Schizosaccharomyces pombe: one gene and its partners. The protein of the gene in region 3 binds, or shares a complex with, the protein of the main gene of each other region. Each region holds a gene or a part of one and is shown on either strand. Other genes may lie near its edges. A codon is read from its position in the direction of its gene.

The links.
Region 1: the proteins of rad4 (region 3) and crb2 are in contact, whole or in part, in a crystal structure (PDB 4BU0), measured with the Schizosaccharomyces pombe proteins. Residues at the interface, in NP_593190.1 of Schizosaccharomyces pombe: Leu109 (codon at 1,203), Thr110 (codon at 1,200), Asn111 (codon at 1,197), Ile112 (codon at 1,194), Gly113 (codon at 1,191), Gln114 (codon at 1,188), Pro115 (codon at 1,185), Glu116 (codon at 1,182), Arg117 (codon at 1,179), Pro133 (codon at 1,131), Asp134 (codon at 1,128), Leu135 (codon at 1,125), Thr136 (codon at 1,122), Arg137 (codon at 1,119), Arg150 (codon at 1,080), Lys151 (codon at 1,077), Tyr154 (codon at 1,068), Trp158 (codon at 1,056); in NP_596748.1 of Schizosaccharomyces pombe: Glu181 (codon at 1,257), Val182 (codon at 1,254), Leu183 (codon at 1,251), Val184 (codon at 1,248), Pro185 (codon at 1,245), Glu186 (codon at 1,242), Thr187 (codon at 1,239), Gln190 (codon at 1,230), His191 (codon at 1,227), Arg192 (codon at 1,224), Thr193 (codon at 1,221).
Region 2: the proteins of rad4 (region 3) and sld3 are in contact, whole or in part, in a crystal structure (PDB 6HM3), measured with the Schizosaccharomyces pombe proteins. Residues at the interface, in NP_593190.1 of Schizosaccharomyces pombe: Cys14 (codon at 1,611), Thr15 (codon at 1,608), Ser16 (codon at 1,605), Ser38 (codon at 1,482), Asp39 (codon at 1,479), Phe40 (codon at 1,476), Thr41 (codon at 1,473), Lys42 (codon at 1,470), Asp43 (codon at 1,467), Thr54 (codon at 1,434), Pro55 (codon at 1,431), Lys56 (codon at 1,428), Phe59 (codon at 1,353), Arg64 (codon at 1,338); in NP_592946.2 of Schizosaccharomyces pombe: Asp629, Ser630, Ile631, Leu632, Val633, Gln634, Ala635, Thr636.

Annotation. Positions count from the first base shown.
Region 1 is NC_003423.3:4,209,130-4,212,883, reverse strand, and holds the start of crb2 (DNA repair protein), read right to left. Parts: upstream 1,918-3,754; 5' UTR 1,798-1,917; coding exon 1-1,797. Other genes in the region: proteasome regulatory subunit rpn1301, read right to left, coding at 3,605-3,754. UniProt on the Schizosaccharomyces pombe protein: Essential for cell cycle arrest at the G1 and G2 stages following DNA damage by X-, and UV-irradiation, or inactivation of DNA ligase. Plays a role in the response to DNA damage.
Region 2 is NC_003424.3:476,971-480,724, forward strand, and holds the start of sld3 (DNA replication pre-initiation complex subunit Sld3), read right to left. Parts: upstream 1,755-3,754; 5' UTR 1,727-1,754; coding exon 1,685-1,726; exon of another isoform or gene 1,671-1,684; intron 1,637-1,670; coding exon 1-1,636. Other genes in the region: protein tyrosine phosphatase (M phase inducer) Cdc25, read right to left, coding at 2,780-3,754.
Region 3 is NC_003424.3:1,061,212-1,064,965, forward strand, and holds the start of rad4 (BRCT domain protein Rad4), read right to left. Parts: upstream 1,702-3,754; 5' UTR 1,651-1,701; coding exon 1,585-1,650; intron 1,528-1,584; coding exon 1,420-1,527; intron 1,354-1,419; coding exon 1-1,353. Other genes in the region: DSIF transcription elongation factor complex subunit Spt5, read left to right, coding at 2,656-3,754. UniProt on the Schizosaccharomyces pombe protein: Essential component for DNA replication and also the checkpoint control system which couples S and M phases. May directly or indirectly interact with chromatin proteins to form the complex required for the initiation and/or progression of DNA synthesis.

The DNA of each region.
Region 1 (3,754 bases), on a different chromosome or scaffold from region 3:
CTTTTGAGGTTTCAAATGGCGTAACTTTTTTTGTTTGCTTTTAAACGGGTCATTAAACAAAGGGCGTAAGCCTGTATCAAGAACTAATCCTCCATGATCCTGAACTACAGTTTCCAATGCACTTCGGTCATAGGCATCCTCATGCACGGGACCGCTGAATGCAAACACGCAATCGTCAAAGATGAGCTGATTACTTTCTGAATCCAAGTTCTTCTTGACAAAGGAAGAATCCCTTTCTTTCAAAGAAGAGCGGTTTCTCTGAGAATCATGTGAAGGAAGAAATGATGTTTCCTCAAACTTCATATCTTTTAAAGTAGAAAAACTGAGGTCTCTTCCTTGAAACCGCCGAATGTTCACAGGAGCAACATAAATAGTAGAAATGGGAACCGTAACCTCAATTTCTCCGTGTGCCAAAATAACCATGTCGTTGTTTAGAGCGTCCACTGCTATAAGGGATAATTGCTCATTAGTAGATCGAAATGTTTTCACAACAGTATGCTTGATTTTTCCTAATCTTGTGGATTGTACAACGTCTCCTTTTTTCAAAAAAAATCTCTTAATTTGATTTGAATTAACCGTGCTCATAGTTGCATCATCAAATTGAACCTTATACATGATGGAACTTGTTACGGCTGAATGTACGGGTGCGACAAGAGTTGCTGGGTAGTAAAAAGAGGGATATCCTTTAAAAAAAGCGAGTACACGGTTTTTAAAAGACCTTCTTGAATTCGGTGATTGGGAAGGTTTTAATGGCTTAATAGAAGCCCTAGTGAATAAACTATCAATTTTAGGAGTATCCAGGCTTAGGCTGTCAGACCTTGAGATAGCTTGATTATTAACCGATTTTCTCAGCCGTTTGTTTACAAAAATTGAGCTCACTTGACTAGACTGATCTATTACAGTCGACGGTGAAGCACTTGTTTCATATGAAGAAATCACATTAAATGGATTAGGAAAGTTTTCATCATTAATGTTTTTAGTTTTTTTTGAAAACTTGGTTTCCGTATTATCAACTTTTTCAGACGAGGGCTCAGTAAAGCTAAATTTTCGTTTATATTGTTTTTCGGATGTCTCTGGTAAAAAAGCAGGAGGAGTGGACTCTACTCGACCATAAAGAACGGGAGACCCTAGAGAAGTCGCCAGTCGAGTAGGTGTAGTCTCTACTTGACCGCTTTCTGTCTCATTTTCCATCTCATCCAAAGTGTAATCGTAAAACTTTGTCCTATGTTGAGCTACGGTTTCAGGTACAAGGACTTCTCCAACGGTTTCTAAGTTTTTCTCATTTTGAGAAACTGACAAAGGTGTATCTTTTAAAGTTGAAAGAGTTGATGGTAATAGAGAAGTAAATGGGGAAAGAATTTGGGAAGAATTAGATACATTCTGAGGAGTCAACAGCTTTTCATGGTCCGATATAACTGATTGACGATCGTATAAGCGTTTTAACACTGTATGTGTCTGCTTGGGTGAATAAGGCGACGATATCACCTTACGAGAATCATGTTGAATAAGTTCATCATCCGAAATGTCCTGGGAACTCTGTTTTGCAAAAGCAGCTTGACTAGGTACTTCAAACAACTGCGTAAGACTTAGCTCCTCAACAGCACCATTGTTATTCACATCCTTAGAATAACTAAACTCCTTATTAGAATTATCATTACTCCTAGGAGGGGAAGGATTAATTGAAGCATTCACTTTTGAATAATTGTTACGAGAAATTGCTGCTTGTGCTCCAAATACACGTTGAGAATTTATGTCAAGGCCAAATCCTTTATGCAAAGAGGTATCATTCACCTCCATAATATTGTTAAACTTTCAAACAAAATATTGAAAACATCTAAAATACCTCACAATTGTCAGAACTACAAATTTAACCAGGGCTTAACCCAAATTTCGATTTATCTGTTGTAAGCTCTGCATAAGTAACACGTTGCACCGTTACTTTATATGAAAGCAGTTAAGAACGTTTAGTTACAACACCAGCTATTTGGCTAATCATATATATATATATATTAATATGGAAATGAAGGGCTCAAGGTAGAAAAACTTATTTTCTAATTTTATTAATAATTGTTTGACCTGATGTACAAACTACAGCATGTTTCCACTTTTATTAATACGTTCGATAGGAGATTTATGTTGTTAGAATCAGTAATGTTGAAGAAGTAATTTTAAATTTGAGTTTTGAACTTTTCATCTTGACTTTTTGAAACAATCATAGAAAATAGATTTTGCTTGTTTAATGATATTTCTAAAAAAAGAATGTCAAATATAGTTTCAGGTTATATTGCTAACATTCATATCTTATTCGTAGTGGAGCCAACATACATTCGAATTCCTAATGAGTGATAACTATCGTTTATATACTTTATTAAAACTTAACAGCTGTCTACGGCCATACCTAGGCGAAAACACCAGTTCCCGTCCGATCACTGCAGTTAAGCGTCTGAGGGCCTCGTTAGTACTATGGTTGGAGACAACATGGGAATCCGGGGTGCTGTAGGCTCCTTCTTTATTATTGCTATTTAATTACTACTATTTTGTTTGAGTTGACTATCCGCATACATTGTTTATATGATTTTTTTTCATGCAAATGAAGACAAGCAGATAGACGTTATAAAGCGATTATGATTGTAATGAGCAAGTCTAAATTTGCTCAAGAGAAAGAATGTAACAAGCCATAGCTCAAAAAAGCAATTACATTTACTACGCTTTATTTTTTTAACAATATATATTACTAAATGTAACGGATGACACCGAGGTCGGGTAGCGTAGTTGGTTATTGCGCACGACTGTTAATCGTGAGGTCGAGGGTTCGAGTCCCTCCCTGACCGTTTTATGACCACTTTTTTGGCTGTTTACAAAAGTAAAATCGTTAGATTTGAAATTCAATGATATTGCGCAAAAATTGAATGTGACTACACGTCAATACTTTAACCATTTACAGTTGGCTACTTTCTAGCTTTAGTAAATCATTTCAATACTGTTCAACTTTCTAACTTATTAAGAATAGATGTTGGTATTATGTATTTGACATTACATATCCTACATTTTACCAACTGTTTTGGAAATAAAACATATTTTGTAAAACAACAATAATCAATATAAAGCATAAATAATAATGAAGTATGAAGTAGAGATACTTCGGGAGTGCAACTTCTCATTTTTAGTCGTCCTAATGTAATTCATCCTTGGCGCTCGCAGTTCATATTCATGAACATACATTGCATTTATAAATCTTAAGTGTTTAGGAAAGATAAGCATTGTATGCAAGAAAAATAAAGATTGCCTATTTCCTAAAACAAATATTTCATATATGAGAAAAAATGAAACTGTACCAATAAACATTCTGTAAAGAGCATTTTGAGCGAGCAACATTGTATTGTGTACTCCAACTTACTCTTACTCATTTTGGTAAGAGGACAAATCCTACCATGAAAGCATTTTAATTCCTCCATATTTATTTAAAAAAAAAAAAAAGAACGCCAGTAATGCTCAATTTAAAAACTTTTAATACGAATCGTCAGTGAATTATAAAGAAACGATTCAACGGATAATATTTTAAATAGAAATTTTTGATATACGACGAATTACTTAATCGAAGACATTACTCAGAACCATTATTCCTGCTCACGAAGCGAGCAATTGCTTTAAGAAATTGCAGAGCACCTCCCTCATTAGGATTGGCAGATTCGTCGAGTGAGAGACCAAGTGCTGAAATAATGTTTACACCACCAGGAGAATTTAAAGCTTGAGA
Region 2 (3,754 bases), 580 kb from region 3:
ACGAAGAAGGAAGGTTTATTTCACGGTTCTTGATGCGAGCTATATCGGAAGACCTTCTTCTAGTGTCCCTCTCAAAACCATTGAATGAAGAATCTGACCGAGTCAAAGAATGAACCCCAGAATTGCTTCTTCGACGTTTAAGAATTTCATAATCCTTAGAGATAGAGGCCTCCGAATGAGGACTAGAAGTATTGGATATACTGGCACCAGAAGTATTTCCAGGTAAAGCGCGACCGGCTTCTGATTTGCTACTAATCAATTTTGAACGAGGAGGAGCGCTATGTCTATGCTTATGAGAGCGTTCTGGTAATAAATCTAAACCGTTACATTTCTCTAAAAGGTTGCGCGTAATTCGAGGGAATTTAGAGGAGTAATATGGGACTATTGTCTCCTTACAAAACTTCAATAAGAGATCCTCAGATCGTTCGGTAGCATTTTGTTCTATAGTCCTTCGTATGCAAAGCCCATCAAATGTAAATTCCAATTTTAATTGAGCAGTTTCAAAAGGATTAAGCGTTTTTGCGTTTTTTTTCCGAGATTTTCGTTTACCACTATCGCGAGAATCCAACAAACTGTTATCATTAGCCCGACGCCTTGCGTACTCAGGATCCCATTTTAAAAAAAGGTATAGAATCTCAAAGTATAAAAGTACACGAATTTCATACTCCTTCAATTTCAGTTGGGAAAACTCCCTCTCAAAGTCAAGTTTTGTAATTTGACAATTTTCTCGATTTAATATGTTTTGAAGCCAGAGGCGATAGCCTTTAATCTCATACTGATGGGCTTCATTTTCGAATTCCAAATGCCAAGCCTTATAGTTTAAATGTGATTCAAAACATTGAAGTAATCGGGATTTACGGTCATCGACAGATTTAAGATTATCTAAAAATTTTAACAGTTCATCAACTAGAGCTTTTTCTTCTACATGATTGTGTACTTCAACTGCTAGTTGTCGAGTTTTTCCAACCATTTGCTTTACATAAAAAACAACAGGTGTTTTGGTCATCAATAGTTGATAAAAGTAGGAATTGTAAAGATGGTCCAACAAAGATTTAACGTCACGTGAACAGCTAGGAGTATAATCTTGAACCATTTCAGTAACGGAATCATTTGCAAATTCATGCGTAAGGGAATTGCCATCTTTTGAAGACGAAATAAGATCATGCGTAACGAATGAATGCGGAGCTTGGCTTTCGCGTTCGTTTGCTTGAGAAGCATCTGATTGAATTCTGTGAAGTTCCTTTTTTAACAAACTAGGTGACATTAAAGAGTTCGAACGGAACAATTGATCTCCTAAAGGTTTGTTTGAGACGTTGGACAAGCTTTTAGAGGATTTCGTTAATTGATGATTTGCTATCACCTTCAAAGACTTAAAATCCAATTTTTCTGAAAGAAAAATCAAGGCATAACGGCTCCCTTCCACATGTTCAATTCCAACAAGTTGATTAGCTTTCGAACTTTTTACACGTCCGAGTAAAACACTAGTGCCAGCTGGCCTTATAACTATGAATTGTAGTGATGAGCAAGTAAACTCGTGATATTCCTTTGAAATGCACCATCGCAGGCAAATACACTGCCTTGGTACAGTAACTAAGGGCCAGACTTCAAGATATGATTTTTCCCAATTTGAAGGAGCCTAAAAGATGTCAACAACTAATCTTTACTATTTTTAAAATGTAAGTACCTTTATACAAAATGATTTCTTGGAAGCATGGTCGTTATTCATAAAGATACCAAAATCTTTAAATTAGTGTACCTAAAAAGATTTGTTTGTTTGAACATTAAGTGCTCTGCAAACTTTCATACTTAAACAATTCGTTATTTATGATTACGAGGTTTATCCTACAATGTATTAAATACAATCGTTGGCGTTCAAAGCTGCACTTCATAGGGCGTTGATGTCATAATCAATAAAATTCATATAAGCGAATTTAAGGTTGACTTAGATGACGACATTCTGATTGTTGCAAATAAAAAGTAAACAAAACAAAATCTACAAATATCTTCAAATTTTAAAAAAGCACACATATGATTCACTTTCTCAACGGAACATGTTTAAATTTTTACCAAAAAAGTAGTATTGATTAAAAATTTTCGTAATTTTTTTTTTGGGAAGGTACTTAAGTGTGAATGTCCAACTTCCGCATTGTAACTATTTTATATCACATAAAACTTCGTAACTCTCTGGTGAACTTAACCTTCCATTGGAAAGGGTAAGCTACAATACTACCGCTTACAGAACATGCATAAAAGGAAGTGATTTAAAAATAAAAGTTTTATTCGTTTTCTACTTAAATATTTCCATCAGAGATGGTTAGGTAGAGTTACAAAAACGTAAGCAACTCAGTTCCTATCGCATTACTGCTTCAATCAAAGAATGCTAAATTCTTAGCATTCCTATCAACAGCAATTGCGAGAAGAGCAATTAGAATGGACTTCGGTACGTATGTTTACCCGTGATTGCTTAGAAATTATTAAGCTCAATTGATTATAAAATAATCAATTATTAAACCAAAATCCATGCGTAATAATAATAACCAAACTAGTCGTTCTAGATATTTAGTCGTAAAAGTGATGTACTTCGAAAAGTTTAGCCAGTTTAAATTTTTTGTTGTCGAGACCTTTTAAAAGGTATATTGCTTTCTTTCAATAATAATAATAAAAAATAGAAATAAAAGGTTTCATGATTCAAAGTTTATAGAAAAAACTTAGGTTTAGAAAGTTGAATATATAAGAGTATACTTCAGGCTAGGTAAAGTATTGAGTCAGCCTAAAATCATTAAAATCTTCTAAGTGTAGAGAGGGAATGCATGGCAGTAGGAGAATCATTAACGTCTGGGGAAGCTAACACACTTTGGCCAAAAGTATAACTTTTAGTACGCATAAAAGTAGCGTTTCGTTTGAAATTATTCATAGCCTTGGTGCAGGTCATAACATGCGAAGCATCGTTCATCGGAACGTAGTTAATTGGGTCACAACGGTTTTTGTGGTTTTCGTAAAACGACTTGTAACCACCATGAAGTATATAAACCTCGGGATAGTAAAGGAAAGGATAACGATGACTATTCATTCGTCTGTCGGTATTTCGAAAGTGCAATGCCAAATGAGGTGCTCTGTGCGCACTATGTTCACAATGAAAAACAAGTGCAACCCGATGAGTAAGAGGTTTACTTAAAAAGGCATCCACAATAGCTTGTTTCGTATTTAAATTCACAGCAGTGCTAATATGGCCCCCAAGGTATTCATATTCAAAACGGCAATCAATAATGATGCATTTGTCAAAAATATCCTTAAATTTACCATCTAATAGACCGAGCAATGTTTCTTGGGTAATTCGTTTCAATGAGTCCTCCTTCACGGCGAAGCAAGGAAGAGATAAATCCTCGACATGAGAAGAGATGAAGCGCTCACTTTCTTTGGTCGATTGTTTTGGCGTAACGCACACAAGATCTTGGCTTTTGAAAAGCCCTAGTCTTGTGGAATTGAGAAACATGCTTTGGGTACGACGAAGCACTGGTGTATCTTGCTCATCATATTCCGCATCTTCTTGCATAGCGAATGCCATCGGAGAAGGGGACCTAACTTTCAAGCTAGGAAAGGCAATATCTTTATTTATCTTGGGTAACATATCAATAGGTTTAATGGGTGAAGCTTGAAAAAGATCATCTAAAGAATTATCATTGCAAGCACCAAAATCACTGTTGGGACGTTGAATAGAGGCAGCGTCTTCAACAAGTTCAACAGAGCTTTCTGG
Region 3 (3,754 bases):
AGACGTTGGAAATACCATATTATTTTGGTTTGTAAATTTTTTTATTTCTTGATTTTCTTTCTTATCGATAGCCCATGGAGAAACTTGATCAATGAATTTTCCGCTTTGAATGATGTTCCATAACCAAGCTACTCCGACGACTCTAACGTTCCATTCTGTAGCATGTTGTATTTTAAATCTAGTTTTCATACTGAAAGGTTCATTTGTGTTTACCAACAAAATACTTCGTTGGACCCCAAGAAATTCATGCACAACTGCTCCCAAGATGGTGAGAGCCTTCTTCAAATGCGAAAGTTCTTCCCCCTTAAATCCAGTAAGATGAATGCTAAGACCATTAAAATAAGGAACCAGAGATGGACGAAAAAAAGGTTTTGCTAAGGCATGTTCATCGATTCCAAAGATTTTTTTGTAATAAAGACACCTTTCTATCCACCACTCATTAACTGTAGGAAATGAGAAGATGGGCAATTCATCGACAGGGAAATAATGAGGTATAACGACAAAATCAATGGTAGAAGACAAAAATTCAGAAATCTGGCCTCCATTATCGCTCAAACATTTATGAAGCCTGGAGACCTTAGTGTTTGGAAACTCGTAAAGATAAAAAGTCAAATTTTTAAAAAGTTTAGCTTCGTTTTCGATGTTGAGTTCCGTATCTAATTCGTTTTCTTCTAAGGGTTGAACAGTTTCGGGAGTGAAATCATCCAGTAGTACTGAATTTTCTTCAGAACGGCTGGAAAATTCAAATTTTCCATTATTAAGTTCTTCCCATAAAATACTTCTATCTCTCTTCTTTCCCCGTTTCATAATCACGGGTTCTAAATCCGCTTCCTCCGCCAATGCAGCCAAGGATTGACCAGACTTTTCTTTATTCTTGCTTATTTTTTGGTTTTCAGAATAAGACTTTGCCTCCGTAGTATTGGGATCTAGACGAACATACGCGCCAAGTCCAATTTTTTCGGCTGGCATATCCAATTGGAAATACTGCGGCTCAAGGACAGCATTCCTTTGTATACTTTGCCATAACCATTCAACGCAAACTACGTTGATTTTCCACTTTAATGCATATTCATATTTGCGACCCGATGAGGTGCCAGCTATTAAATGAGTTACGTCTCTAGTTAAGTCAGGGCAAAATGTACCACCATGCTTAAGCACATAATTTTCAATACGAGATCTCTCTGGTTGGCCAATGTTGGTAAGACAAACCCGGCATTTAAATAGAGTTGGTAGAAAGTGTTTATCGACGAGCAGGCCATCATCCAGATCTTCTCCCTGTACCCAGCTTTCATAAAGAACAGGTATCCATTCACTAGACATAATCTTTATGTCTGGTCTGGATTTTGCGGCAAACTATTGAAAAGAATGTCAGCATTTACTCTTGAAGGATAGTGTAATTTGTAAGATTTTACGACATACCTTGTATTTTGGAGTATCAAAATCGCCGGCTATAAGATGCGTGACATCCTTAGTAAAGTCTGATCTATAGGCAGCACCAAGTTTAGTTGCTTTTGTAGATATCTCGGTCTGTCAAGTTAGTAACACAAATAACAAAAAATGCGATTCGTCGTGCAAAAATCTTACCCTTTGCTTTAAATCGATACTGGTACAACATATCACGAAGCCTTTGAGTGGTTTAGAAGAACCCATTCTTTCACTACCGACATTTATGAGTTCTAGGTGAGTAGGTATAGGTAATTTACGAGTACAAACGCGTCCATCACCACTACATATTATTGTGAGGAAATGCAAAAATTGGTAATGTTTAAAAGGGAAAATAAAGAATGTTTAGAGAAAATCGACTTTCGAAGGTTAAGAGTAGATTGAAGCTAAAACCAAGTTGTTATATGCTACCGTGGTGGGTGCGAAGATTGACAAATGGAGAGTCATAAAAGGCCAAAATTAAATTTTAAGCATTTATTCGAAAAACTCGACTGTATTGGCAATGTACACGATGCTGTATAGCTGAGTAGCATCATTGGTTTGGGGGAAATTATGAACAAGCACCAAGAGCTGGCTATTATATTATTCCTCATTTAACCTGTATCATAATTATAAGATTTATTGAGTAAGAAGATAGTATATGGACACCACCTTTGTCCTATATTCTCTCGGTAAAAAATATCCTCTTATCCAGTTTAATATTTATATTGGATTTTAGTAACGCAAAGGGATATTGCCCTAAAGGGTTCATAGTTATATGGAATATAACATAATATTACAATTTAAATGTAAGATGAATTTATTGATAATCTGAGCATCCCATTATCTTTAATTTCAATTAAACCAAGTCTAACTTTAAGATTGTGTATGGCATTTCGTGTATACAAGTTTGTTTACCAGCAGTGGCAATTGCTCAAGCTTACCATTAAAGCAAATACTTTTAAAGCAAAAGTTTGATTTTACAAAAAAACCGTAAGTATTCCATTCTAAATTGCTTCTTTCGTATATCTATACTCTTGTCGCTGCAAGCCATACAAGACCTACTTGCTTGGTAAAATAGGGCAGCAGTACGTACTGTAAGTCACCTTTAACAAAACACCACTTGTTGAATAAAAAGTTCATTAATCGGCGAACCTATCGCCTATATTAGATTAAAGGTCTAAAAACAAAGCATTGAGGGAATAGGTACTATTTCCTCTTTTTTAAGTCACAATGGATACGAATTCTCCGAAATCTATTGATAAAGATGCAAATTCGACTGAGGTAGATGCAGCTGAGCAAGATGCTGCTTCAGTTAAAATCAATTCTACCCGTGCATCCCCCAATGGAAGTGACTTGCTGAATGATGATTCTGAAGCTGCTAAAATTACTACAAATGAAAAACAGAGTTCTCCCGTGGATTCCCATAACGAAAGTCCAAATGATACCACAATTAATAAAGGCGAAGATGGGAATGAAAACGAAGTCGATAATGTAAATAACAATGACAAAAAAGAAGATGAGGATAATGTTGAAGAAAACGAGGAAGAAGCTGATGCAAACGAAGAGGAAGAAGAGGATGAAGAAGATGATGAGGAAGACGAGGAAGATGAAGATGAATCAGGTGGCGGTAGAAGAAAAAGGGCTCGCCATGACCGCCGCAACCAATTCCTTGATATTGAAGCAGAAGTAGATGAGGACGAGGAAGAGCTTGAAGATGAGGAAGATGAAATTGGTCGTGAAGATGGTTTCATTGAAGAAGAAGTTGGAGCGGATTACGTCGGTGATGATCGTCGCCATCGTGAACTTGACCGTCAAAGACAGGAACTACAATCTGTTGATGCTGAACGCCTTGCTGAGGAGTATCGTGAAAAGTATGGTCGTAGCCAAACTGTTGTTGGAGATACAAGCAATGTTCCCCAACGTCTTCTACTTCCTTCAGTGAATGATCCCAATATTTGGGCTGTTCGCTGTAAAATTGGCAAAGAAAAGGATATTGTTTTTACCATAATGCGGAAAGCTATGGATTTGCAATATACTAGCTCTCCATTAGAAATCATTTCAGCATTTCAACGTGACTCGCTGGTCGGTTATATATACGTTGAAGCTCGAAAGCAATCACATGTTCTAGATGCACTTAATGGGGTTTTAAATGTTTATACAAATAACATGATTTTAGTTCCAATTAAGGAAATGCCGGATTTACTCAAAGTTCAAAAACAGGTTGTTGAACTGTTGCCTGGTGCATATGTGCGTATACGCCGTGGAAAGTACGCCGGTGATCTCGCTCAGGTTGACAACCTTTCAGAAAATGGTTTAACCGCACGTGTAC